Linked DNA regions of Drosophila melanogaster. The gene in region 4 interacts genetically with the main gene of each other region. Each region holds a gene or a part of one and is shown on either strand. Other genes may lie near its edges. The genes, in order: hry, Sxl, E(spl)m7-HLH and sc.

What was found.
Region 1: of sc (region 4) and hry, changing one suppresses a phenotype caused by changing the other (phenotypic suppression), as found in Drosophila melanogaster (2 studies listed by BioGRID).
Region 2: of sc (region 4) and Sxl, changing one suppresses a phenotype caused by changing the other (phenotypic suppression), as found in Drosophila melanogaster (2 studies listed by BioGRID).
Region 3: of sc (region 4) and E(spl)m7-HLH, changing one suppresses a phenotype caused by changing the other (phenotypic suppression), as found in Drosophila melanogaster (one study listed by BioGRID).

Annotation. Positions count from the first base shown.
Region 1 is NT_037436.4:8,673,253-8,680,793, forward strand, and holds hry (hairy), read left to right. Parts: upstream 1-2,506; 5' UTR 2,507-2,997; coding exon 2,998-3,096; intron 3,097-4,119; coding exon 4,120-4,215; intron 4,216-4,352; coding exon 4,353-5,171; 3' UTR 5,172-6,001; downstream 6,002-7,541. UniProt on the Drosophila melanogaster protein: Pair-rule protein that regulates embryonic segmentation and adult bristle patterning. Transcriptional repressor of genes that require a bHLH protein for their transcription (e.g. ftz).
Region 2 is NC_004354.4:7,094,397-7,100,784, reverse strand, and holds the start of Sxl (Sex lethal), read left to right. Parts: upstream 1-2,731; 5' UTR 2,732-2,784; exon of another isoform or gene 2,785-2,840; intron 2,841-3,016; exon of another isoform or gene 3,017-3,161; intron 3,162-3,718; exon of another isoform or gene 3,719-3,787; intron 3,788-3,849; exon of another isoform or gene 3,850-3,970; intron 3,971-6,300; exon of another isoform or gene 6,301-6,388. Other genes in the region: CG4615 (uncharacterized protein), read left to right, coding at 263-511, 586-776, 839-1,058, 1,130-1,411. UniProt on the Drosophila melanogaster protein: Sex determination switch protein, which controls sexual development and dosage compensation in females. Sxl protein is only active in females: it is inactive in males throughout development.
Region 3 is NT_033777.3:26,034,713-26,039,718, forward strand, and holds E(spl)m7-HLH (enhancer of split m7, helix-loop-helix), read left to right. Parts: upstream 1-2,325; 5' UTR 2,326-2,450; coding exon 2,451-3,011; 3' UTR 3,012-3,307; downstream 3,308-5,006. UniProt on the Drosophila melanogaster protein: Participates in the control of cell fate choice by uncommitted neuroectodermal cells in the embryo. Transcriptional repressor. Binds DNA on N-box motifs: 5'-CACNAG-3'.
Region 4 is NC_004354.4:393,340-398,792, reverse strand, and holds sc (scute), read right to left. Parts: upstream 2,734-5,453; 5' UTR 2,617-2,733; coding exon 1,579-2,616; 3' UTR 1,296-1,578; downstream 1-1,295. UniProt on the Drosophila melanogaster protein: AS-C proteins are involved in the determination of the neuronal precursors in the peripheral nervous system and the central nervous system. Also involved in sex determination and dosage compensation.

The DNA.
Region 1 (7,541 bases), on a different chromosome or scaffold from region 4:
AATAACCATTTTGAATGATAATGGCACACAAATTGAATTCATTGATCTTATAAAATACAAGCAAATAATAATACCTATAATATTATACATATGCTATAATGTTATTATCAACGCCTTTACGATTATTAAATAGTTAACCAACATGGTCCAAAATGATTCGAAATACCTTCAAGGGGTTCTTTATCGTACCACCAACGTGTTTGTTTTGTTTTCAGTGATCAGGGCTCCCGGGGCTTATGGGGAATCTGGGGGATCTGGCGCTGTCTAATTTTAGACGCAATTAGCAATGCGCACATTTTTGTGTGCTTGCGCCTTTTCGACTATAAATTTTTGCCACAGTTTATTTTAGAAGCTGCATGTGATCGGGTCCGCCAACAACAACAATGGGGCGTCAAATTGGGCGTTCAACGCACAAACAACTGCGAGTGTATCTGTATCTGTGACTGTATCTTTAGCGTTGTATCCGTGAGATACATCCACACCTTTGGCTGTTTTTGGCCAGCTAGCATGATGTAAAACGCCGCCAACGTTTTCCGACCTCTCGTTTTTTTTTCTTTTTTGTTTATTTTCTTTTTTGCTTTTCGTTGCAATTAAATTGGCATGCACAAGTGCCGCCTCTGCCGCCGACAACGCCTCTGCCGACGCTGACCGCGGGCGGGCCGCCTTTTGATCGGCTGCCAAATTGTAATTGGAACGCGAAGGTGTTGTCGACGTCCGCCACTACCGTCTATATATATATGTATCCATATTGTTGGGGCATGTGTTCTCGGCATAACAACCTTCTCTGGCGACCACAAAACGCACAACACTTTAGACAACCGTCAAAAATGTCAGAAATTCCCCAAACTTTTTGAGTATTTTCACGAATCGATAGATATGCATATTTGTAAGACGTGATTGTTGATTAAGTTCAATTTCATTTAATTATTAAGCAGAAATTAAGTGTAGTAAAATCAAATTAACTTCTAAACGTTTTTTTACTCATCTTCATTAGAGTCAACTTTATTAGTTTCTATAAAAACACTGCCAGGTGGTTTCGCTATAAAAAAAATATTGTAAACACCCGTTTTTAGCCAACTTGAATGTTTAAAGCCTGACTGACTCATTCCAATGTAACTTTGTTGACGATTCGTGGTTTTGGTATAACTTCACTAATCAGTGGTCAGAGTCCAAGTCAGGCTTTAAAAATATTTCCCAAGAACAAACGTCAAAGATAACGTAATTTCCTTTTATAGATCGTGTAACCTAAATATGTGTCATCTACCTTTACTGAGCTCAGCCTGGTTAAACTAATTACATGGTTATTACCATTTCTTAAAACTTAACCCATATTTTGTAAATAATAGATGGCTTAAGCAGTTATTTAAAATATCACTTTCGGTTGTAACGAAATGTGTGTGACGCACTTTGGCTTTTTACTACCAAATAAACAATATAATTTAAGCTTCATTTTCACTGTAATATTCCCAGTTTTCACTGCAATGCCCCTCTTCTCATTCTGCTAATGAATGGTTAGTTTTCTGATGCCCGACTATTCCGCGTGTCGCGTAATTATAGTCAACCTTCGATAAATCATTACTCCAAAACAAAACAACAAATAATATATGAAAAACGTGAAAATCCAACGCTGCACGTAGAAGCCATCAAGCTGAATCTAAGCGTCCGGCGGAGCACGTGTGATCCACGCAGCCTTGTCCACAGCGATTTCCATTTCATTTAGCCCGTTGGCGGCTATCGATCAAAAGCCAAAAGGGCGACCTTCACTTAATTGAGGCGTACGGCATGCTGAATGAGTCGGTTGTACAGACTGGTCTGGAAAATGCTAGGGGGATAACTATAGCCACCACCCACTGCCCGATCGCCCAACCACCCAACCACCCAACCACCCACTTCCGCCTAGCGTGCGCACAACCTTGTGATCTTGTTTACTGTTTAGCGACCCCCGAGCCGCAGATACACAGTACACAGCACAAAAAACCGAACCTGTCGCACTGGGGTGGCGTCATATAGCCAGCTATTTTCACCTTCTATGGGACGTCGTCGCGTTGGCCGCATGAATCAGCAAACCACGAACGGCGAGCCACCAGAAACCACCGCAGAAGCAGCAACAACACCAACACCACCGCGACCATCACCAACAGCACAGCCAGAAACACAGCCTCTTGTGAATCCCTCAGTTAGCAGAGCCCAGCAGAGTCAAGCCAAACCGATCGCTGATCGACCGACCGACCGACGATCACCAATGGGGGTTTCGCAGTGTGATTTCCAAAAAGGAAGAAATGCCCATTCCCGCGAGCCACGGGGGCGTATGAGTAACGCGGTGTGTACTTTAGGTACCGCTCACAAGCGTGAGCACGCACACACACACACACACACTGAAGCGAGCAGGTAGCGCATAATGTATACCCCTAGGTAGCCGCAATGCCAGTGCAATTGTATTGGTGCGGTCGTGTGGCTCGCGCTCGCGTCTCGCAGCGGCGATTTAGCCTACGAACCTGTCGATCAATCGTCAGTCTTCCGCCGAGAGCCCAGCGATAAGGTAGTCCCGCTACGCTCCGCAACATCCAGACGCAGTAAAGCAAATACTTATATATATATATACATACATATATATAGCGCAACCATCCGAAAGCCGAACGATCGATCTTCTGCTTCGTGCCGAGTCGTTTCGGTCTTTTAATCGCACTGCAGCCAGAACCTGCTGCTCATTCGCCTGCCGTATTTCGTAGCGTGCGGTTCTATCGCTCCGCTTTGATAAACCGAATCGAAATCTAGAGAACCCCCCCAGACACAATACCATTTTACGTGCTTCTCTGCGACGCTGCGCGAAAGTGAAACCACCAAGTGAACTTGAAAAAAAAAAAAACTGACAACTTGAGTTATTCTAAAAAAAGCAAAAAAGCAGTGAACTTATATTGCAAAGAGCAGCAAATTCAGATTTGCTGCCAAGTGAAAACCAAACTGTGCCTCAAACTCAACAAACAATATCTGACCGAAATGGTTACCGGCGTAACAGCAGCCAACATGACCAACGTTCTGGGCACCGCCGTTGTGCCGGCCCAGCTCAAGGAGACGCCGCTCAAAAGTGACCGTCGGGTAAGTTTCTTTCGAGAAAAATAAGACTCGAAAAAAAAAATCCAAAGCCAAAAACAAAAAACCCCGTCAATGGATTAAATCAGAACCTCTAGTTCCCCGAAATCTGTGGATTAACTGAAGCGAACCAAACCGAGAATTCCCCTAATTGAGAGCCACCCACTTCGAGCTCAAGTTGATTTCCATTCGCGACTGTGGGCGACTGGCCCCATCAATCCCGCTGCCCAAATGCATTTCCTTTTTAGCCATCTCCCACATGGCTGGCTGGGAATAAAAATACGAAAAAAGAAAAACACTCTGAGCCAGACCAAAAAAAGGCCGCAACTGCCGTCGGCGCGCCAACACAAAGCGAATTTATCTCGCGTCGCGTTGGTGGCATTTACTATATGGCATATGGCATACTACTCCGACTACACACACGCTCCATCCATTCATGAGTGCCGCCCAAAATTGGCTGGCGTAGCTGCCCACCAGCTCCCCAGATTCGGACTCGGATTCGGATTTGGCTGCCACTTGGCGCGTGCGTCGCGTGGTGGCTGCAATTGTCGGTCATCAGCCGCCGTTTTTGGCCATTCGAACGGCACCGGTTCAATGAGTTGGCCAGAAAAAAAAAAACTGACTTCATGCGAGTCCAAATTTGGCAACTTGTGCTCCCTAGATAATAATGTACCTAGTTATGGCATCTTCGAATTTCCCGCTCTGACCTTGTCACATTCTCTTTATTTTTGCTCATACCTGGTTGGTTTATTTATAGCCACTGCCTGTAATTTATAACCGCCAAACTATTTTTAAATAAATGCCTCGGCCGAGTGGCGCTATAAATAGAGCACGCGCCGTGCGACTAAATTTGGCCGCCAGCCAGTCAATCCGCTCCCCAACCTACGCCGCCTCCTCCTTGATCTCCTCCAATCCAATTGAAGACCCATGCAGCTTCCTCTATTTTTGGGTCGTTGCATGAGGTCAAATTAGCCGTGCAAAAGCCGTGACTAATCGATGTTTTTTTTTTCCATTTCTTGCCTCTTGCAGTCGAACAAGCCCATCATGGAGAAACGCCGACGTGCCCGTATTAACAACTGTCTCAATGAACTCAAGACTCTGATTCTGGATGCCACCAAAAAAGACGTAAGTATCTGACAAAAATATAAGTTTAAAGCCACAAATAAAATAAAAAAAACTACATATTTGAAATTATCTCAAATATTTTTTAAAAGTTTAAATCATTGACTAATTTCCAAATTATTTTCTCTCTCTACTTTTAGCCGGCTCGCCACTCCAAATTGGAAAAGGCCGACATTCTGGAGAAGACAGTAAAGCATCTGCAGGAGCTGCAGCGCCAGCAGGCAGCCATGCAGCAGGCCGCCGATCCCAAGATTGTGAACAAATTCAAGGCCGGATTCGCCGACTGTGTGAACGAGGTTAGCCGCTTTCCCGGCATCGAGCCCGCCCAGCGTCGTCGCCTGCTACAGCACCTGAGCAACTGCATCAATGGCGTTAAGACAGAGCTGCACCAGCAGCAGCGCCAGCAGCAACAGCAGTCCATCCACGCCCAGATGCTGCCCTCGCCGCCCAGCTCGCCGGAGCAGGATAGCCAGCAGGGAGCAGCGGCACCCTACCTCTTTGGTATCCAGCAGACGGCCAGCGGTTACTTTCTGCCCAATGGCATGCAGGTGATCCCCACCAAGCTGCCCAACGGTAGCATTGCCCTCGTGTTGCCCCAGAGCCTGCCCCAGCAGCAGCAGCAACAGTTGCTGCAGCACCAACAGCAGCAGCAGCAACTCGCCGTCGCAGCAGCAGCAGCGGCCGCAGCAGCAGCACAACAGCAACCCATGTTGGTCAGCATGCCCCAGCGTACAGCCAGCACCGGATCCGCCAGCTCGCACTCCTCCGCCGGATACGAGTCGGCGCCCGGAAGCAGCAGCAGCTGTAGCTACGCCCCGCCCAGTCCGGCCAACTCTAGCTACGAGCCCATGGACATCAAGCCATCGGTCATCCAGCGCGTGCCAATGGAGCAGCAGCCCCTGTCGCTGGTGATCAAGAAGCAGATCAAGGAGGAGGAGCAGCCCTGGCGGCCCTGGTAGAGGGTGTCTGCATATGCATATCATATAGCATAGCCACCCCTATCGAATCTCCCGCTTTTAAGACTGACCCCCCACAACTCATCCAACTCGCACACATGCGCAGGCGTTGTGCGCATGCGCGTAGACATTTCACATCATTCGCCGGGATTGCGCAAATGTTGCTTTGAAGTGTTGCAAACATGCGAATCCTAAACTCGGTTCACAACTTCGTTGGCTTAGTTTCCTGGCTTATATCCTGGAAACCCGTCGACGAGGCTAAGGACCTTCATCAGACGCACCCACACACAAACACACACACGCAAACGTTGTTATAATTTATTTATTATTATATTATGTAATCGATTTGAGAGAACGGTATTCTACCAGGACATCGCCAAACTACCTCAGTCCAAGTACTTGGTGTTGAATTGCCTCATGTATCATGTATTACTCTTTGAATAACAGCAAATCAGCAAAAGTCTTCCAAACACAGAAAATGAAAATGCGAAAATAAGCACCTGAAAAGCTGAAATACTTTTTATGAAAAAGATAAACGCAAAAGCATAACTCTTACACATAGTCGTACATCTCCATTTAAGTATAGGTTTTGTACCATAGCCAGCTAAGCCGCTTAGGGTTTCTCTCGCTCTTAAGTCTAATCAAAGAATAATTATATTTATAAAACACACAAATCTATTCGTAAGGCCACGTGATATAGTGAACATAATGAGCTTCTAAGAAAACAAAACAAGAATTTGATGCAAGCAAAAGCAAAAAAATCAACAAGAAAGAAAAAACAAACAAACAACACACTAAAAAGAAATAAATTTAAAAGATTCTACTAAAAAATCAAATACGCAAAACGGATTTGTTATTGTGGTTGGGGTATCTTTTCCTGGGTTTTTTTTTCATTCGGGTGAAAGTCCCATTATGGTTCTTTTTTTTGTTTTAGAGGTCAAACGCTTTGAGTGACAGGAAACTTATCGAGCCCCCCGACTTATCGTAGCAAATTTCGACGCTAATTATTATAATGCCAATGGTGAAATTCATTTTGCTGGAGAGGATCGGCGGGGATTTCGACGATAATACAACTACGTTTTAAGGGGCTCGATTATGTCCGTTTCTGCTAATATAATCGGCACGACGAGTTGAAGGTTTTTCTGTGGCCAGACCGTAACGGATATAGATATATGTGCATCATAAACATTATATAGGAATGCCTTGATTTTCACACATCCGTTCGATAGGCCAGTAATTCGAAACAGTTGTGACGAAATAAATACTTATTATAATCCTTTGATCGATAATATTTTAAAATATTTTGCAATTTAATCATTGGTTATTCCAATCGAAGTGATCAGCAAAAGTTAAGGCGCACAAGGGTATATTTTAAAATCAAGGCAGGTTAGCTCTGATTGCAATAAATCCGAAATTCCATTAGCTAACGATTCAGCAAAATACCGAATTTCTTAGGGATATGGAATGTCAAGAAGTTGGCCACTATAGCCGCAGGAAAGTCGATCCGGTTCGCGTTAGTTGGAACTAAATCGGATATCGCCATGGATCATGGATGACCGATAGCTACGGATACATTTGGAAATTCCCTGGAACTAACCACTCGAATCCAGTGATATATACAAGTTTATCAACCATTAGGGAAATCTCTTACCCAGTAGCAACCGAGTCACGCCCTTCAATTCTCATAGTGCCCCCACTCTAATCTAAGCAAATCCCTGGGCCATTAATCGTCATGCTCGTGACAAAAGTTTCCGCGAAGTCTGCGGAAAAAATACCGCATCATGCTGATAATATGAGTGCGATAAAGCGGATAAGTGAATAAAATTGTTTTCCATTTGCTGGTGAATCAAGTGCAGAGAGCCACATTCACTTGCTCATCACGGCGTGCCTGCCACTCCCTTGCTGCAGTGCGTCTGTATCTGGGCCTAGTCTCGTTCGCCGTATGACTGGATCAGTATTCACTCGCTAACTATTCACAAAACTAACTCGTGCAGCCTCAAAGTCCAGGGGAAAATTCTCGTAAAAGCTAAGTAAAGATTGCACACAGTCGTTCAGATGTCGCATGTTCTGGAATCTAAGCAATACACTGGAAATACGCTTCGAGAAAAGTCCGATTGGGTGGTTTGGTGGTTGGGTGGTTGCATGACCAGGCTTTTGCCCCACTGAACCGAAAGTGCACTTGATTAGTCACTATGGGGGACGACCGACTTTCGGCCCATCAATGAGGATTACTCATCGTGGCTCGTCTAGCTCGAAATAGCATCGAAAATTTTGCCAGCATGTCTGCTAATTTACAAAGAAACCCCCTCTATTGACGCCCATTGAGTCATCATCGTTTGCCTTAATTGGCAAAAATCTGGTTTCTTTGGAGGA
Region 2 (6,388 bases), 6.7 Mb from region 4:
AGGAATGCCTCAAGTGTCCGGCCGCTCGTCCATTTCCATTGTCCAACCATTATTGCAGCTGGCCAAGCGCTGGCTTATCACTCGAGGCGAGGCCCAAAAGGCGAAGATAGAGACGAATGATAATCAATTGGCCATAAAACGGGTGAAGTGTGGATGGTGTTTGGGTTAGCCGGGTTAGTCGTCGTCTGTCTAATCGAGTGGCAATCAATCAATTTGGCAAATCGGACAACCAATTCACAATCTAATCCACAGTCTATCCACGATGAGCAACAGCGAAGGAAGCGGCCACGAAAGTGGAATCCGTACACTGAATCGCAATGCGAATGGAAACGGCAATGGAGACCTCAGTCTGATGCAGGATCTGCAGCATAAGTACGCCTTCCTCGAGAATCTCTTCAGCAAGTTCTGGAAGTCTATCATCAAGTCGAATTCCAATCTCAAACTGCAGTTGCGCAATGTCAAGTGGAAGAATGCCAAGGCGAAGCCCGGCTGTGCCTACCAGCCAACGGAGGTGAGTTCTATACATTGTATGTGTACAGTACACCTGACGCCTAAACCACATTTACTCTATCCAAAAAAAAACAGATCGAGCAGGTGGCCAATGTGATTACTCACGGCATTTGGATACTGCCCGCCGTTTTTGCGGCCATCAAGCTGTTTGAACGCTCCTCCAGCGCCAGCCAGTATCTGGTTGCTTGGGTCTACGGCGGAGCCCTGTGCATGCTCTTCACGGTGTCCACCTTCTTCCACTGCTCCTGCTATTGCGCCGAGCACAAGTGAGTGCGCACACAGGCTGATTTAACCATTTGATTTGTACATTTTTGTATACCTCCACTAGACCACCGAAGAATGTCAAGGCCTGGCCCTGTCTCGGCTGGCAGACGTATCAGGGGCTCAAGAACGTGCTCCATCGCTGCGACAGGGCGATGATCTATGTGTTCATCGCCGGATCGTACTTCCCCTGGCTCACGCTAGAGAACACCGATCATTCGGCCATACTCTTCTGCATGGAATGGGTCATCTGGCTGATGGCGGGCATAGGAATTGCCTACCAGCAGGTGGGTTCATTTACAGCACCCGTGTTCACATGCTCCTTAAGGTGAAATTTCCTTTTGTTTGGCGAAAACAGGTCTTCCACGAGCGCTACAAGTGTCTGGAGACGTTCTTCTATCTGGTGATGGGCCTGGGACCCGCTCTAGTCGTTGTGTTCACTGGCCACCACTTCCACGGTATGATGCAGCTCAAGTTCGGCGGCGGCTTCTACATTCTGGGCATTGTATTCTTCAAGGCGGACGGCACGATACCCATGGCCCATGCCATTTGGCATCTGTTTGTGGTGCTGGCCGCCGGATGTCACTATTACGCCATCCTGGTGAATCTATATCCAAGCGAGGGAGCCGCAGCACCGTGAACAAACGAGCGCCACAAAGCAGTTGTGGTAACATGCAGCGAATTTAGAACTTAGAGTACTTAACGACAGGGATTCGATGTTGTCAGCCATGTGTAACGTATTCCTATGATATACCCGATGTACCCGAGTCTCTGCTCCACAATTAGCCAAATTTTAAGCGAGCGAGGACGCCTAGCTTGTAGTCTAGTTGTAGCATTACGAACTAACTAAATCGAAACGATTCTTGTGATCAGTATGTGCGGTCTTGCCAAAGATTCAAATTGTGCGAGTGCTCATCTCTCCCTCTCCCTCTCAACTTTAACTTGATATTATTAGCGATATTCATATATTTAGTATCCATAACGACCCGTTTTGGCCATGTGTTTCTCAAAAGACTTTGAACCGTACTCAAAAGGCAAAGGACACGAATATTAAACTTGTACAAATATCCGAGAGTTAACGACCTGAACCTTTTGAACACTAGAAGCCCGCCTATCCCGCATTGCATTATGCATGTTTATACAGATTATACAGATATATTATATACCCATATATACCCATATACACAAGTAGATAGAATTAAGAGGCCATCCGATCCGCGAGTCCAGCCCCTTCGGCCAGTTTCATCGCCGAGCTCAGGGACAAATCGATGTGTTCGCAGATACTGAAGAAGGTGACTATTTACAAATACGCTTGATATCTTGATATTTTCGGGGCCTGGCTCGCGATCGGCGGATATAGCTTTCGTGTACTACTCGTATTTATGGTGCAGATCGATTAGTTTTAATGGCTCTAATAAATTGTATATTTCCAAATGAAAGCAAAGGGCTCAGATGTTTGTTGCGTGCTCAAATATAATTGTTCGTTTTACAATGTTATGCATGTATCTTGTTTAGCTTATTCATACATCTTGTTTAGCTTTAAATATATGAATATACATATATTCTTTTTTTGGTTGCAAATATATATATATTATTTTATTGAAAATTTTTTTTTGTTTGTGTAGAATTCTAAATATTTAAATGAACGAAATCTAACGGGGCTCAAAAGACATAAAATTGTATCTAATTTTAATTCGTTATTTTCTTTTCTTTAAATGAAAATTTCAAGCTTGATTTGAATTCCCATATTTGAATTTTATGTGACCGTTACGAATCAAGCGAAGGTGTGAAACTTGGCTAAATGGGTTCGTGTATTCGCTAAATGGAGTGAGTCTTAACTAACGCGGTGTAGAAAATGAACAGTGTGACCAGCCGAGTGCCTAGAAAAATAACGAAAACGCGTTTAGCCACCGTAAAGCCACCCAAATAGCTTAAATTGACCGACAACCGCGAAACGTGCACACTGCTTTGTTGTTGCCGAAGAAGGAAAGTCGCGCAGTGAATTTTTTTCTGGTAATTTTTCTTTGCTCCTCCTGACACTCGCCACGTAAATCAAACACACGATCCAAGTGAATAAGTTAAAACGTTTTAAAAATCATGACAAAGAAGCTGTTTTGTGTGCCCCATGCAATCCGTGTAGCTACAGAATAAGTGTGTGAGAAGAAATAAATCCCCATCGAAAAAACAATACACACACAGACACTGCAGCATGTACATATATATGCATATAGATATATATATATACATACATGCACAGGGTTTCTAGCGTGACGTGAAGTGTATATAACGAAGCGAAATTAAAAGAACACGCAAAAAGAGAAAAGTGGAGAGGAAACGATAGTGGAAAACACGCAGACATTGTGAAAATGCGCATAGATCATATCGCAATTGTAGTAGTACAATTACAAAAAAACCAAGCATTTTTGGAGTTTTTCTTTTCTTTTTTCAAGTTATACATGTTATTTTTTTTGCTGTTGGCCTCAAATACATACATATGTACATCTGAATAGAGCGAGTAAAGAGCAGTATACAGATACTCGCTGTTTTTTGTTTCTTATTTTTTGCTGTATACGGTTTTTTGTGAAGTTATTGAGCTGAAAGAAGAGTGCAAAAGCGATTGACGAGCCGAAAACATGTTGTAAAATTCCATTCAGCATTTCCCACCACTACCAACAACAGCAAAGCAAAAGCAAAGCCGTTTTTGCTCGCTCTCCCACTCCTTCTCTCTCTCTCTCCCGTCCACTCGTTGTTACTTCATGTACTAATTTTTTTTTCTGTGCTTGCGGCTTCGTCATTCGCATGTATATACATATGTGTGTGTTGCGCCTACGTGAGAGAGCGTGCGAGTGTGTATATGCCCGCAAACGCATAAACACACGCGCACACACTTGCAAGGCGATTCACGCGCCTGGCTTACACTTTGTTTTTTCTTTTTTTTTTCGTTTCCGTTACAGTTGTGTAGTACATAGCAACATGCAAGCATCGCCCAAAAATCATATGCACATACACATAAACAGTAAGTTGTACATAAAAACAGCAGCGTGTGTGTGAGTGCTTAATTCTTTTTTTCCATTTTAGTCTCTAACTAAATAATAATAACTAAGCCGCTGGGTAAGTGGTTTTGTTCGTATACAAACAGCTTTTTGGGGCAAAGAAACAACAAGAGAAACCCAAGGGCAGTAAGAACATATAACGAAAGGTAGGCGAAAAAGACAACAACACACATGCATACAGTCGCGTCCAGTTGTGAAGGGCCGAAAATTCTGGAATAGATTTCGCTTTACCTGAGTGTTTATCGCGTGTCCCTTTTTCACTTCCTTTAGTTCCGCTGCAAATCGACTACCTACATTTACGCATATCCTGTATACATATTACTTCCTGTTTCACCAACTATGCCACCATGTGTTTCTTGCTGCGCATAAATTGGAGTATTTTGTGATTGCTTTTAATAAGTAGATATGTACCTATTTTTTGGTGGTCGACTGTGGCGACCGCCCTACGTCGACGGCATTGCCAGCTGTTATCATCGAAGGCAACGTGTTTTGGCGTACACTTCACTTACACATGTGTCCCTGGTTAAGATATGACATATTTTGGAGTTTCCCAGAGCTTCTGCAATTAAAATAATTGTAATTTCTTCGTTGAGTGTTTATATAGCTTTAGTTGGCGAAACATTATTTTAAAGATCCTCATTAGCGACACGCGCCTTTCGGTTTATGGCCCTCCCTTTTCCATTGAAGATCAGGGATCCTGGATATTTCCAGGCAGGTAGTGAGCGCAAGGGAAGATGTTCGCTTCGCCCTCCGTTGTTGTCTCTATCGTACGCTCAGCTGCCGTATTTTTTGTTTTTCAAGTTGCAGCTGGCTGGTGGGAGAGGAGTGGAGTGGTGAGGAGAGGGCAGCTGCATTTATTTCCTTTTCTCTTCATCTCCGCTTCTCGGTGGGTCATTCCCCTTCTTGCTGTTGGCAATGACGTCGCATCGCAACGATCGTTCCCTTCGCTTAAAGCGTATTGGAAATATTGGAAATGGCGGTAGCTAGTACTACCCCCACCTCCACCAACACTCTTAATTCACATTTCTGCATTCCATTGAGGTCATTCCCTTGCGCAAATTGCACGTTACACAATTCCCATGAGCGTTGCACCCCGTTTTAAACCTTATTTGGTCTTCAGTTAATAAAAGCTTCCCAACAGTGGTCTCTAGATAATGCAACTACTTAGCGTCGTTATTTAAGAGTATATTTTGTAGCGTTGAATGTTCTTATTTCGATGTTTTTATGGCAGATAATACTGAGTTAAATGAAGTTGAATACGTCCTTGAAAGTATATATGTTTCGGTTCCGCAATGTCAAGTGTTCACTGTACTTTTTAAGCTCGCTCAATGTTTTAAAAAGCATACATGCATACATATGTACATACATGCGCATTTGGATACACTTGAAATAACAACAGTATAATAACAATCCAAGCGGACGATCAGCTGGAATGTTCGATGGATCGTTGATTGTGTCTGGCAATGCCGCTGTGATTTTGTTTCCAGACCGAGATCCATTCATGCATGCGGGTACATGACTCATTTTCCCAGCTGAGCGATTGTTAGATGCACAGATGTGTACATGCATCTTCTATATGTATATATGTATACATTAGCTCATGTACTTAAATGGGCTTTTATCAGCTGTTTAGAACACACATTCACTCAAGCACTGCATAATAGTGCTGCTCTATTTACACAACTGTGCTCCAAATTAGCAGACTACTGTTATCAAACTGTAAAGTTTTTCTCGCATTTTGTTATTGCTTTACAATTCGCTGGCGCTTTCTCCATCTCTTTCCCTCGTACACTGCCGAAAAATGTCTGCTAAATGGTGTCAATGAAATCAATGAAAGCCTGCATTGTTTTTTTTTTATTATTGTTATGTAATATTTTTTTCTGTTGTGTATCATTGCAATATTATTTGCTGCTTTGAATTATTAAACAGCTAAAAAAGTCATATATATTAACATTTTATCGTAATATTTAGAAATAATTTTGAACTATTTGTTTTCAATTTTTTAATATGATACATTGGATATATTATTACCACGCATTGTGATATGCATTTTCCCCAAAAGTTTTGTCCGTGATGGACTTTCTTTTATTTTGGTTTTTGATTTCATGGTGATTTAGCTTTCACCCATCTGCATATGGAAAGTCTATGGGTCTTTGGTACTCTATTACTTATGTTTGAATTTTCTTTCATTTCTGGGCTCTCCCATTTTCGGAATGACCGACCTTCTGGTTACCCTTTTGTATTTTCCCCCCACCTTTTTGCTTTTTCCGTATTCACAGCTTGTGACGCTTTTCGTTTCTCTATTTCCGCATTTTCCGTTTTCACGCTGGAAAGCGAGGTACACACTCTGTTTTATATATTTCTGTACATATTTTCATTTTCCTTCCCCTGGGCTTCTTTCTTTTTTTTCGGCATTTGCTGTATATTGTGTACATGGGAAAAGAGCAGCCCTCGAATTTGATGACCGTACCACCCCATTCCAGCCGGCTTTTATTCTGGTTTTTGTGTTTCTGAGCGACCCAATGCGATTTAGGCCGCCCCACCCACTTGGCCGCCGCCCCCCT
Region 3 (5,006 bases), on a different chromosome or scaffold from region 4:
TGCCAAGCATGCGCACACATATTCAATTACACGGCCAGCAACGTCGGTTGCCCAGCAGCAGCAGCGATTATAGCGATGCATTGACAATAAGCCAACCCCGATGCGTGCCCAAATGGTTGCCCCTACTTAATAAAAAGTGGAAAAAACAACAACAAAAGCCCGGAGCTGGCCATGTGCAGCTCGAGAAATTTTCTCACAGTCGCCAGAAAAATTGTAACGGCCCGTTGTTCAGCACACTCTCAGCACGCAGTGCACTGCACACACACACTTCCTGCCGCAGCCAGCGTTCCTCAAACCGGCCACGTATATTGTTTATATAGTTAACGAATGCGATACATTTAATCTTTAGTGTGTGTCAATTTGCCGTACAGTCATTTAGTTTGCATGTCCCTCGTCGATCCATCGAACAATCATCCCTTTTTCTGGGACCTGGGTCCCACGATGATGATGTCCCGACGTGAGCAGGAATACCATACGCGTATATGTATGCCACTTAGCGATGGACGATCCCAACCGATGCCATCCGAAACGAAACCCAGGGCCCAAGTGTTCAACAGAAGCTACAATTCAGCATTCATAATTGACAAGAGCAGGAGCGAGGGAGAGGGCGATATGTGTAGGGCCCACGATGGACAAGAAAAAATTAAATAAAATAAAGGGCAGGTGGTAGTTTTTTCAGCACTACCCGTGACTCGCACTAGCAGCTCGGTCAGATTTACAGTGGTTCGAATGGAACGAAAATTGGTTGAAAACAATTTAGGGTCTTGTCACAATCTTTAGATGCTTTTAGCTACAAACTACAAAATGGTTTCTTTTTTTAGAAATTTTTTAAACATCATAACCTGACAAGAACATCTTTTCCAAATATTTCTTTATTTCACCCATCTGGGTACAGTAATCCCATACATAGATATTCTGTAAACTGCAACCTTCACGAACCTTAATGTTTTTCAAGACTCAGGTTCCCACTCACCGTCGCAGCTAACAAAATTATCCGTAGCAAGTAGAAAACACCTTTCACAAAAGTCCCTATACTCGGACTATATATGCCTAGAAAAACCTCTAGGAACAAATGTACCTTTCCAACATAGCAGATAGTTTAGTAAAAATTCTTTACAAGTAGAAACACATCGAGAAATCCATAAACACTTACTCTAAAACCTGCAAGTCGTAAAATTGCACGCATGTTCCGTTTGGTAAAACCCCAAAAATCACATTCGAAAACTCACATTCCCACGACTTTGAATAGAGGTTCTCAAATTAACCGTAGCAAGTTGAGAACAGGCAACAAAAAATCCGTAAGATACTGATTTCCAAACCTGCGAGTCCCAAAATTGCACACATCTTCGCCTTGGAAAACCCCATTTCCGACATCCCAAAACTCGCATTCCCACGATCCCTACAGAAATTGCTAAAACTTTGTCTAGCAAGTAGATAACAGTATGCGTAAATTCCGTAAACCTTAAATTTCACGTAGTTGGAAAAGCCTTGAAGAATTCATTCAAGCAAGGCACCCTCAAAATTCCCGCATGTGTTTCATCGGTTTGGCCCACTGTGCCATGTGCATAAGGGCTCGGAACTCGGAGCTCGGACTCGGGACTCGCACACGGGCTACCTCCGATTATAACTTATAACACCAACGAGCGAGAAAAATCTTGTGGGAAACTTGAGGGCAAAGTGTTTCCCACGATTCGAATGTCAGTGGAAAGGAAAACAGAGAAGCAGCATGTGCAACCACCGTCGCACCACCACCACTGCACTATCGCATCTTCATCCCCTGCCGAGACTCACTTACACCGAACACCAGTGGCCATAGCAATAGTACTGAGAACATATTTAAAGTTCTAGATAATGTTTATATTTTCAAAATCACTACTATTAAGAAGTGTGCTAATTTAATTTTTTAGGTGTAAACGTATAACATTATGTTAATTTCTTTTTGTTTAATAAAACGACATTTAAGTGCTTTAAGGGAAACCCATTTGAAGTAATTGTTAAAAACGTAACGTACTTCTTAGGTATATAACAACAAATTTGTATATTCGCTCGAAGAACTATAGCTGCTTTAAACACATTTCTCATACTATTTTTACCGCAGGTGTGTTCCAAACTTGTTTGTGGAGAAAAACCCACCACCGAAAATGCAGGCGAGAGGATCGTGTCCCAGTGACTGAGTAAAAGTAGTTTGCTCCGCAGGTGGTGGTTCTTCGGAGGCTCCGCAGCTCTCTCTTCTCTCTTTCTCCGAGCAGCGTGCGCTGAGCACGAGACGCTCTCGCGGCGGCACGTGCAGCTATAAAAGCAGCGGTAACCGGAGACGAATGCAACATTTCGAACGCAATCGTCGTGCAGTCAACATCTCAGGATAACCTCCTCCGAAAGATCGAAGAAGTTCTTCAACAAGTCGTTCTTCCATTTACCTAAACGCAACAAATAAACAAAACAAACACACAATGGCCACCAAATACGAGATGTCGAAAACCTATCAGTACCGCAAGGTGATGAAGCCCTTGCTGGAGCGGAAGCGTCGTGCCAGGATCAACAAGTGCCTGGACGAGCTCAAGGATCTGATGGCCGAGTGCGTTGCTCAGACTGGCGATGCCAAATTCGAGAAGGCCGACATCCTGGAAGTCACCGTGCAGCATCTCCGCAAGCTGAAAGAGTCTAAGAAGCATGTTCCGGCCAATCCCGAACAGAGTTTCCGTGCTGGATACATCCGGGCAGCCAACGAAGTGTCCCGCGCCCTGGCCTCCCTTCCCCGAGTGGATGTGGCTTTTGGAACCACACTGATGACCCATCTGGGCATGCGTCTCAACCAACTGGAGCAGCCCATGGAACAACCGCAAGCCGTCAACACTCCACTCAGTATCGTCTGTGGATCCAGCTCTAGCTCCAGCACCTACTCCAGTGCCAGCTCCTGCTCCTCCATCAGTCCCGTTTCCAGTGGATATGCCAGCGACAACGAGTCTCTGCTCCAGATCAGCAGCCCCGGACAGGTGTGGCGTCCCTGGTAAACAAAGATCTACTTGGAAGGACTGAATTCCCGACGGGCAATCACGCAATTGGAACCGCAGCTTTAGAAAAAATGCTTTACAATGATCCTCATTTATTTGTTACGTTACCAAGTTTTAGGTTTCTAAGTTAAGTCTGTGATAGGGCACGCTTTATTAACTTTTGTCTTAAATCAATCGAGCAGAAGTCTGTTTTTTACTCTACATATATACAAATGTTTACCAGCTAAGAGATCTCAAGAACACAATATGAAAAGATACAAAATGAAAAACTTAAATACAAATCAAAATATGAAATGAAATTATACAAGAATCTTATTATTTGGGGAATCTATTTTACAGCACAATCCAATAGGGGATATTGAACTTCAGTATTTGTCTTTAAATTCCAATAGGAAGAAGATTCCATTGAAAATATTTAATGTTGGTATGCGCGAACTTTAAGGTCCAATATAATAAAACGATCGTGTGCACTAGCTTATTTAGGACACGTGTAAAAAAATGGACTTCCCATAAATTATGTTCATTATCTTAAAGCCCATCATTATCCTAAACGAGCTATATTAATAACAAGTTTCAATAACAGTTAAACATAATAGCAAAACATGCTCCACTAATGTGCACTTAGTTGTCAAGCATGCATTTAATAATAAAAAGGAATTTAATTTCATATTTTTAATGGTCGTTATTTTTCATTTGCACGATGTGTTTACTTATATTCTATTTCAGTAACTATTTTGTCAACAGACTATGAAATGAAAGTATTTGACATCCTTTAGCACAATACAATACATTGTTATAAACCTTAAATGCGGCATTATAATTTTTCCACCAATAAAAGGTCAATAAGAATGGTCAAGAAACATACAAATGAGTTTCAGCACGCGTCTCGATTACTTATCACACATTATACCCTATTATATTTAATCCCTTAAAATTTATTCTTTTACAATTAATCAATTAAATTACATCACATATTGAGGGTTGCAATAGCATTACGTAAAATCATAGGTAAGTGTATTCAATTCCAAATTCATACCACATTATTAACCTCTGACACCCAAAATACTATAAGAAGTGAGAGTATCCCTCCCCATTACAATAATCAATGACGTTGTTTTCCACCCATAAAATGTCAATATTAAGAACCCTCAAGATTTGTAAGGGAGATATACAAATCCATCTCAATTATTAAGTGAGGAAGTAGCATACCCTAGGCGGTTGCAAGGGAGGGACACAAATCCCATAGGTAGGCATCGATGTCAGAGGTCGATTAGTTTCCTAATAGAAACAGAGTTTATAAAAGTTAACTCGAAAGTGAAATTTACTCAATGGAATTCTAATACACCATACTTGCATGCGAAACCCAAGATTCCGAAACCAAAAGCACTTAATATTAGCTAATTAAAAATGGGTTTAGAAAGATACGCCAGACATTATAAGTTCCTATTAACTAAATTCAAAGAAAACTTTTGTATCCTATGATTACTTTAACAATCTTATTAGGATGAGCCACACATTGAACAAACCACATTTACCATAAGACAAGATATTTGAAAAGTGCACATCAATTAACCGGTGAAAAATTACTAATTACCAATTAGGGGGTTGCAGGAAGTTAACTATGTGCATCCCATAGGTAGACATTCCGGCACAAGGCCCACCTCACCTCAGCCTGGGCATTGAGTACTCAACCTCGGCCACGAGTGTGGCACGCGGGGCACACTTTCTGCGCCCGTTTGACCCACGTCCCCCTGCCAACCACCCAAAAACCCGAGATCAGACAGCCCAAACGATGGAACGATCGAACAACCAAGGCGACCCGGCACGAAGCCAATATGCCACATCCACTAATTGTGTCCAATAAACACTCGTCGACGGGGCACTGTGGGAACGGAAAGAGGAGATCTCAGAGTTCGCAGTTCGGAGGTCGGAGCAGGAGTAGGGGCTTATACAATCATCGTCTGCTGGCATTGATGAAACAATAAGCGAGTAGAT
Region 4 (5,453 bases):
AATGCTTCAAGTAACAACTTCGTAAAGAGCTGAATTATGAGCTTAGCTGCGACTTAAAACTGCTTTTTTAGCCATCAATCTGCCGTCCTTAGTCCTCGAAACTTTGGGCGAGCCTATAATTTGGTCAAATATCTGGGGTCTGATTAATGCAGGCGGCTGGTTTTTTGTACCACAATGTTGCTGGCCTGGGCGCCGAGAAATCTATTAAACTACGCTTTTAAATCAGAACCAAATAAAATAAAAAACGCAGCTGAAAAAAAGGTTGCCTTTCTTTAGATTCTTTAGGAAAGGTGAAAGTTCTTCCGGAGCTGAACGTTAAGCCTTGCCTACAGAGTCTCGCAAAAGAAAATAATGGTATTCCAGAACCCATTTTCATGATTCGAAACAATTGCATTGAGTTGTCAAGTGTCAGCGTTGACATTGAAAGAAAAGATCCCCTATCCCTTATCACTTCCTTTGGAGCATCCAGCGATCCTAAGGACAATGAGGTCCTTTGTCTGTGATGCCCTTTAATGTGTCAAAATATAGTCTATAGTCGCATTCTCCCATGCGTTTGTTTTTCTAATGCAACGTGATTTATTGTCTGGCCAGTGGAAGAGGTTTATTCCAACGGACTGACATCTCAACGGTGCGTGGGAGTGAAGAACTTAGTTATTGTTTGGGGTAAGGTGTTTGCATTTAACTTTTTCAGAAGTGTAAAAAGTGGGTAAAATACTTTTTTGTAAGGCCGTACATTATAGGGAATACTAGGAACTATAGTTAAGCTGAGCAAATTCAAAAGAAAAAGTCTTAAAAGTGTTGATCGGGTTAAAACTACCTCACTTTATATATTTAAGTAGTAATGTATACATAAATACGAACTCCTCTTATATTGAATAAATTGTAAATTGCTTTTTCGACACTTTTCCTTTTTTAAGTTCAATATCTGATCTGAATTTCAAAGTCGTAATTGTAAAACTAGTAACCTTTTAAACTAGTAACCTCGTGGCACGTGTCACAGGTGTCATCGTCTTACCTGCGATAATTTGACATTCTTAGAAACTACCTGAAGAAATAGGAAACTACTGGTCTAAAACCAAATACTGATCTATGTTTTGCGTTATCTGTAATTCGTATTAATGATTTTTGGATATAAGAGTGATTTTGTAAAACCAATGCAAAGCAACCTTAATTGTACATAACGGCTGCACATGGTCCCATCGGCACTGCAAGGCAATGCAAGTAGTACCCGAATGTTTTACAAACCTGATCAATAGATGGATCCCCTTTGAGAAAAGAACTTAAATATGATTTTTCGTTTAATTTTTTCATTTTATTTTTCCACCAAAAACTAATTAACATAAAATTGTATTAGCAAAAAAATATGTTTTCGTTTCCATGCTATAGTTATTTCATAAATATATAAATTTGAAACTGGTCTCGTGGTTCTTAACAATGTAAAAAAATAGCTTAAAGTAAGAAAAAAAAATTGGGGGTATGTTGTTTTTGTATTAGTGTTATTTACAATTTGAGGCACTTGGTTCAACTCAACATTGACTAGAAGAAAATAGGGCGTGGTGGTAAATTTTGGGGATTAAGTCACTGCTCCTGCCATAGAGAGATGTAGTCCAAAATCTCCTCGTCGTCGGGGGTGCAGTCCTCCTCGTCTAATTGAAAATGTTCGTACGGTTCAAATTTTAGCTGAAGTTGGGAGTGCGTGTGTAATTCGTTGTCCAGATGATCCAGACGATCCAGGTGGGTGGATATTTGTTGGGGAACTCCTTCGTAGGTGCCTGAATCAAAGGACATGCTGGAGTTGAATGATGATGTTGGCGAGTGGCAGGTTTGCTGGTTTTTGCTGGTGGATACGCATCCTGCATCTCCACCTGGTACGGATGTGCCCACCAAGTTGGTATTTAATGAGAGCGCTGTCAGCGGTTGGTGATTGAACTGCTGCCTCTGTAGCTGCTGCTGTTGTTGCAGAGGACTGACAGAGATCGTGTTTTGATAGTAGGTATTATGCCCTGAGGAACTGCAAGTACTGCTGCTCGAACTGTGACTGCTGGACTCATCCAAACAAAGTTGAAGCTGGGTGACTGCATTGTTGGCACCAATATTGCTGCCCCCATTTAGGTCATCCACCAGATCCTGAAGCCTCCGGATGTACTCGACGGCAATGCGCAGTGTGTCTACTTTGGAGATCTTTTTGTGAGGTCCTCGACCACCACCCTTTGTCAAATCCGTGATTATGGATTGTGGTATATGTTGCCGCAACCTGGCGAAGCTGTTGTTCACCTGCTTTACACGATTTCGTTCTCTAGCATTGCGCCTTTGGACCGACTGGGATTGGTCTACATTATATGGAGCCGGCGAGGAACCAGGCGATAGAGATGATACTGATTCAGAGCATCTGGTCAGTGCCATACCCCTTGGTGTATACTTGCGAGTCTTAATTGGCATTGTGCCAGCGGGTTGATTTTGATTGCCACCGGGAATTAATGGACTAGGGGCTGGCATTATGTGCTGATAACGAAAGATCTTCGTTGCCGAATTGATGGTCGTTGGAAACGTTTCGTTGGTGGACAGCACACTCGATGACATGGTAGTGCTTTTCGTTGTATTATTATTATTTTTCATTAACACACTCGGAGCTTTCTTTAACTTTCCGGATAACGATCAACAGAAAAAAATAAATGAACAGAGTACAATACTTGAACTTGATCGTTTGACACCTTACACAAGAATGAGTCCCTTCGTCCTAAACCCTCGCGTTATGTACCCTTTATGCAACTCTCTGCACAACACTCAGGCAGAGAAACGGGCGAGAGAATCGGAGAGAAAGAGAGAGAGAGAGTGACGGCAAGAGCTACCTGCACAGGTAGGGAACTCGAAGTGAGTGAGCCACAGGTAGTCTCTCTCTCTTTCTCTGTCTCAGGTACTCGAGTATCCCACAGGAAAACTGTTCTCACTCGACAGTCCAAAAGAAACACTCAAATTTTAAACTCAAAATATCAACTCGAAATATCGAAAAACGATCAAGGTATCTGAGTGAGGGCTCTTTTTGCTACGGCACGCCAGCAATTTGATTTCTGTGTTAATTAACTTAGCAAAAGTCGCGATCGCCAATTTTATGTGCAGCTCACGCACGCTTCTATTCATTAGCGCCGGACGGATCCAAGGGATCGACAGAAGATCCTGGGATCCTCCTTATTAGACATTCGGAGTACGCTCCCTAAAGGTGTTCAAACAATTTCACTTATTTCTCCAATTAAATTATCAAAAGGATCACAATTTTTTGTTAAGTAAATCAAAGGGATGTGACACAAGTTCTAGAAGGAAGTTTGCAGTGAAAACTGCGGTTCTTTGTTTGTGGCTACTTGTGTTTTTTCTAGAACTACTGGGATGTTGCTTTAAATATATTAATTTGTTTGGGAATAATTTAGTTCTGGGTTTGATTAAATGTTCACACATTTGACTTTTAACGGTGTATACTTGTTATTTGTTCTATTACATAATGCGGTCTAAGGTAAAGAAATACTAGACATACATGAAGTTTCATACATCTTCTTTGAAATAATAAATTGATTATTTCAGACTGTTGTAACTTGCCATTGGCCACTGTGTCGTGCTAAACGGCGACTGTAAATTGTAACTTCCGCTCTGTTCACAAAAATCGGTTCATTTTGTCACGATCATCAATCGATGAGCGAGTGAAAAGATGCCAAATCGGCGACCAGGTGTAATATTTTTATTGTCCTCAACTCGTTACCCTCGTTTGCTTCTGCCAGCATTTTTCTTTTGCCAAATCATCAGCAATAGCACTTCTTCACTTCTATTTGGCAAATTTTAGATCCCCGGATCCCAAAATCAAAAACCGAATCCGAAACCAAAACCAAAGCGAAAACCGAAATCCTGATAACAAAAAAACCTTTTCAACCATGACCAGCAAACGGCGCTTCTCTGTGTTGTTCCTATAAATAAAATCCTTTCACCATTTCCAATACCTTTTTTGCATGCTGAACTTCGCTTGGAGTCTCCACTCTTTAGTTTTTGCATTGTAACGGAGGGATCGGTAGTTGGTTTCCATTATTTTACCATCATTAACACTATCATTGTTCTTGAGTGTTGCAGAAATTTTGGCAGCACAATGTTCTATTTAAATTTTCGCATTTTCCAAAATTCCATTGAAGCATTTTAATAAATGGTTGGGAGAAATGCCGGTGACATGCCTAGAATAGGGTTGAAGTCGTCATTAGAAACTCCACTCAGTGAACTGTGTGATCTATGGTGTATGCGGACATTTAACTGAAGTGGAATGCATATAATGCATATACGCGATCCTTTTTTCCTTGAAGCGGAGAGTCATAAGCAAGGTTGGTATAATCGCGTGTTCGGTACAATTGATTAATCATAGGTCCAATTCCGGTCACCGCTTGCATGTAAATGCCACTCATACCTTGAACAAGCATTGGATATTACCTTCAAAATTATAGTACCTAGTGTAGGAATCTTTTAATTTTGAATGATTTAAATTTTATATTTCATAAATGCTTCATTTCCTTTAGTATATAATATTGTTAATTTAACTCTATCTTTGTGGAAGTCTTTTATATATTTTCGGAAACTTAATAATGTTTTTTTTATTATTTCGAAAGACTTGTTCTTCAGGAAAACCATCAGAAAGCAAGTTAAGTAACCTTTCGATGTTGTCCCGACAACCAGTAAACATTTTTTTCGGACTACCTTGTTTATATCCTTTTTCCAGACGCAACGCTTGGAGGATTTAAATGCGTAATTACTTTGATATGAAGCATAGTTCCGGACCGCGAAAACGGGAAATGGAAAGGACTCAAAAGTGTAAGCGAGATGAAGAGCGGGGCCCTTGCGATAATTGGGTAGGAGCAGGATGGAACGAGGCAGGATATATAACCTACCCATTATATGGGTATATATGGGTATATATATATATATATATATATATCCTAATCGGTGGAGCGACGCGTGCGTTTTTCCAACGAAACTTGAAATGCAAAAATGAATGTTGAATCTTAATTTAAACGAGTTTTCGTAGCCAGGACCTGCAGAAGAGAGCAGGAGATCGGCGAAAAAAGAAAAAGTGAAAAAGAGTGAGGGATACAAGTATATGTATACTTGCATATAGATATTTCTGTTGTCGCGTTCATTTCTACACGTAAAAATATTATTTAATAGGTTGTATATAAAATTATTATAAGTGCATTACAAGAGTATATAGTGAAATTTCTGTTATTTAAATATTTATATTTTAAGTAAATGTTTTTGACCATTTTTATTATCAAAAGTTTTAATATAAATCTAAGTGACGCTCGTGGTTTAATTTTTGCGTTTTACTGTTGATGAAGCGTAGATGTATCTCTCCCTCTTTATTTAGCTCAGTCATTTTCGTAGTTAATAATTTAATTAAATGCAGGAGCATGCGCAGGAGTCGCACCCTC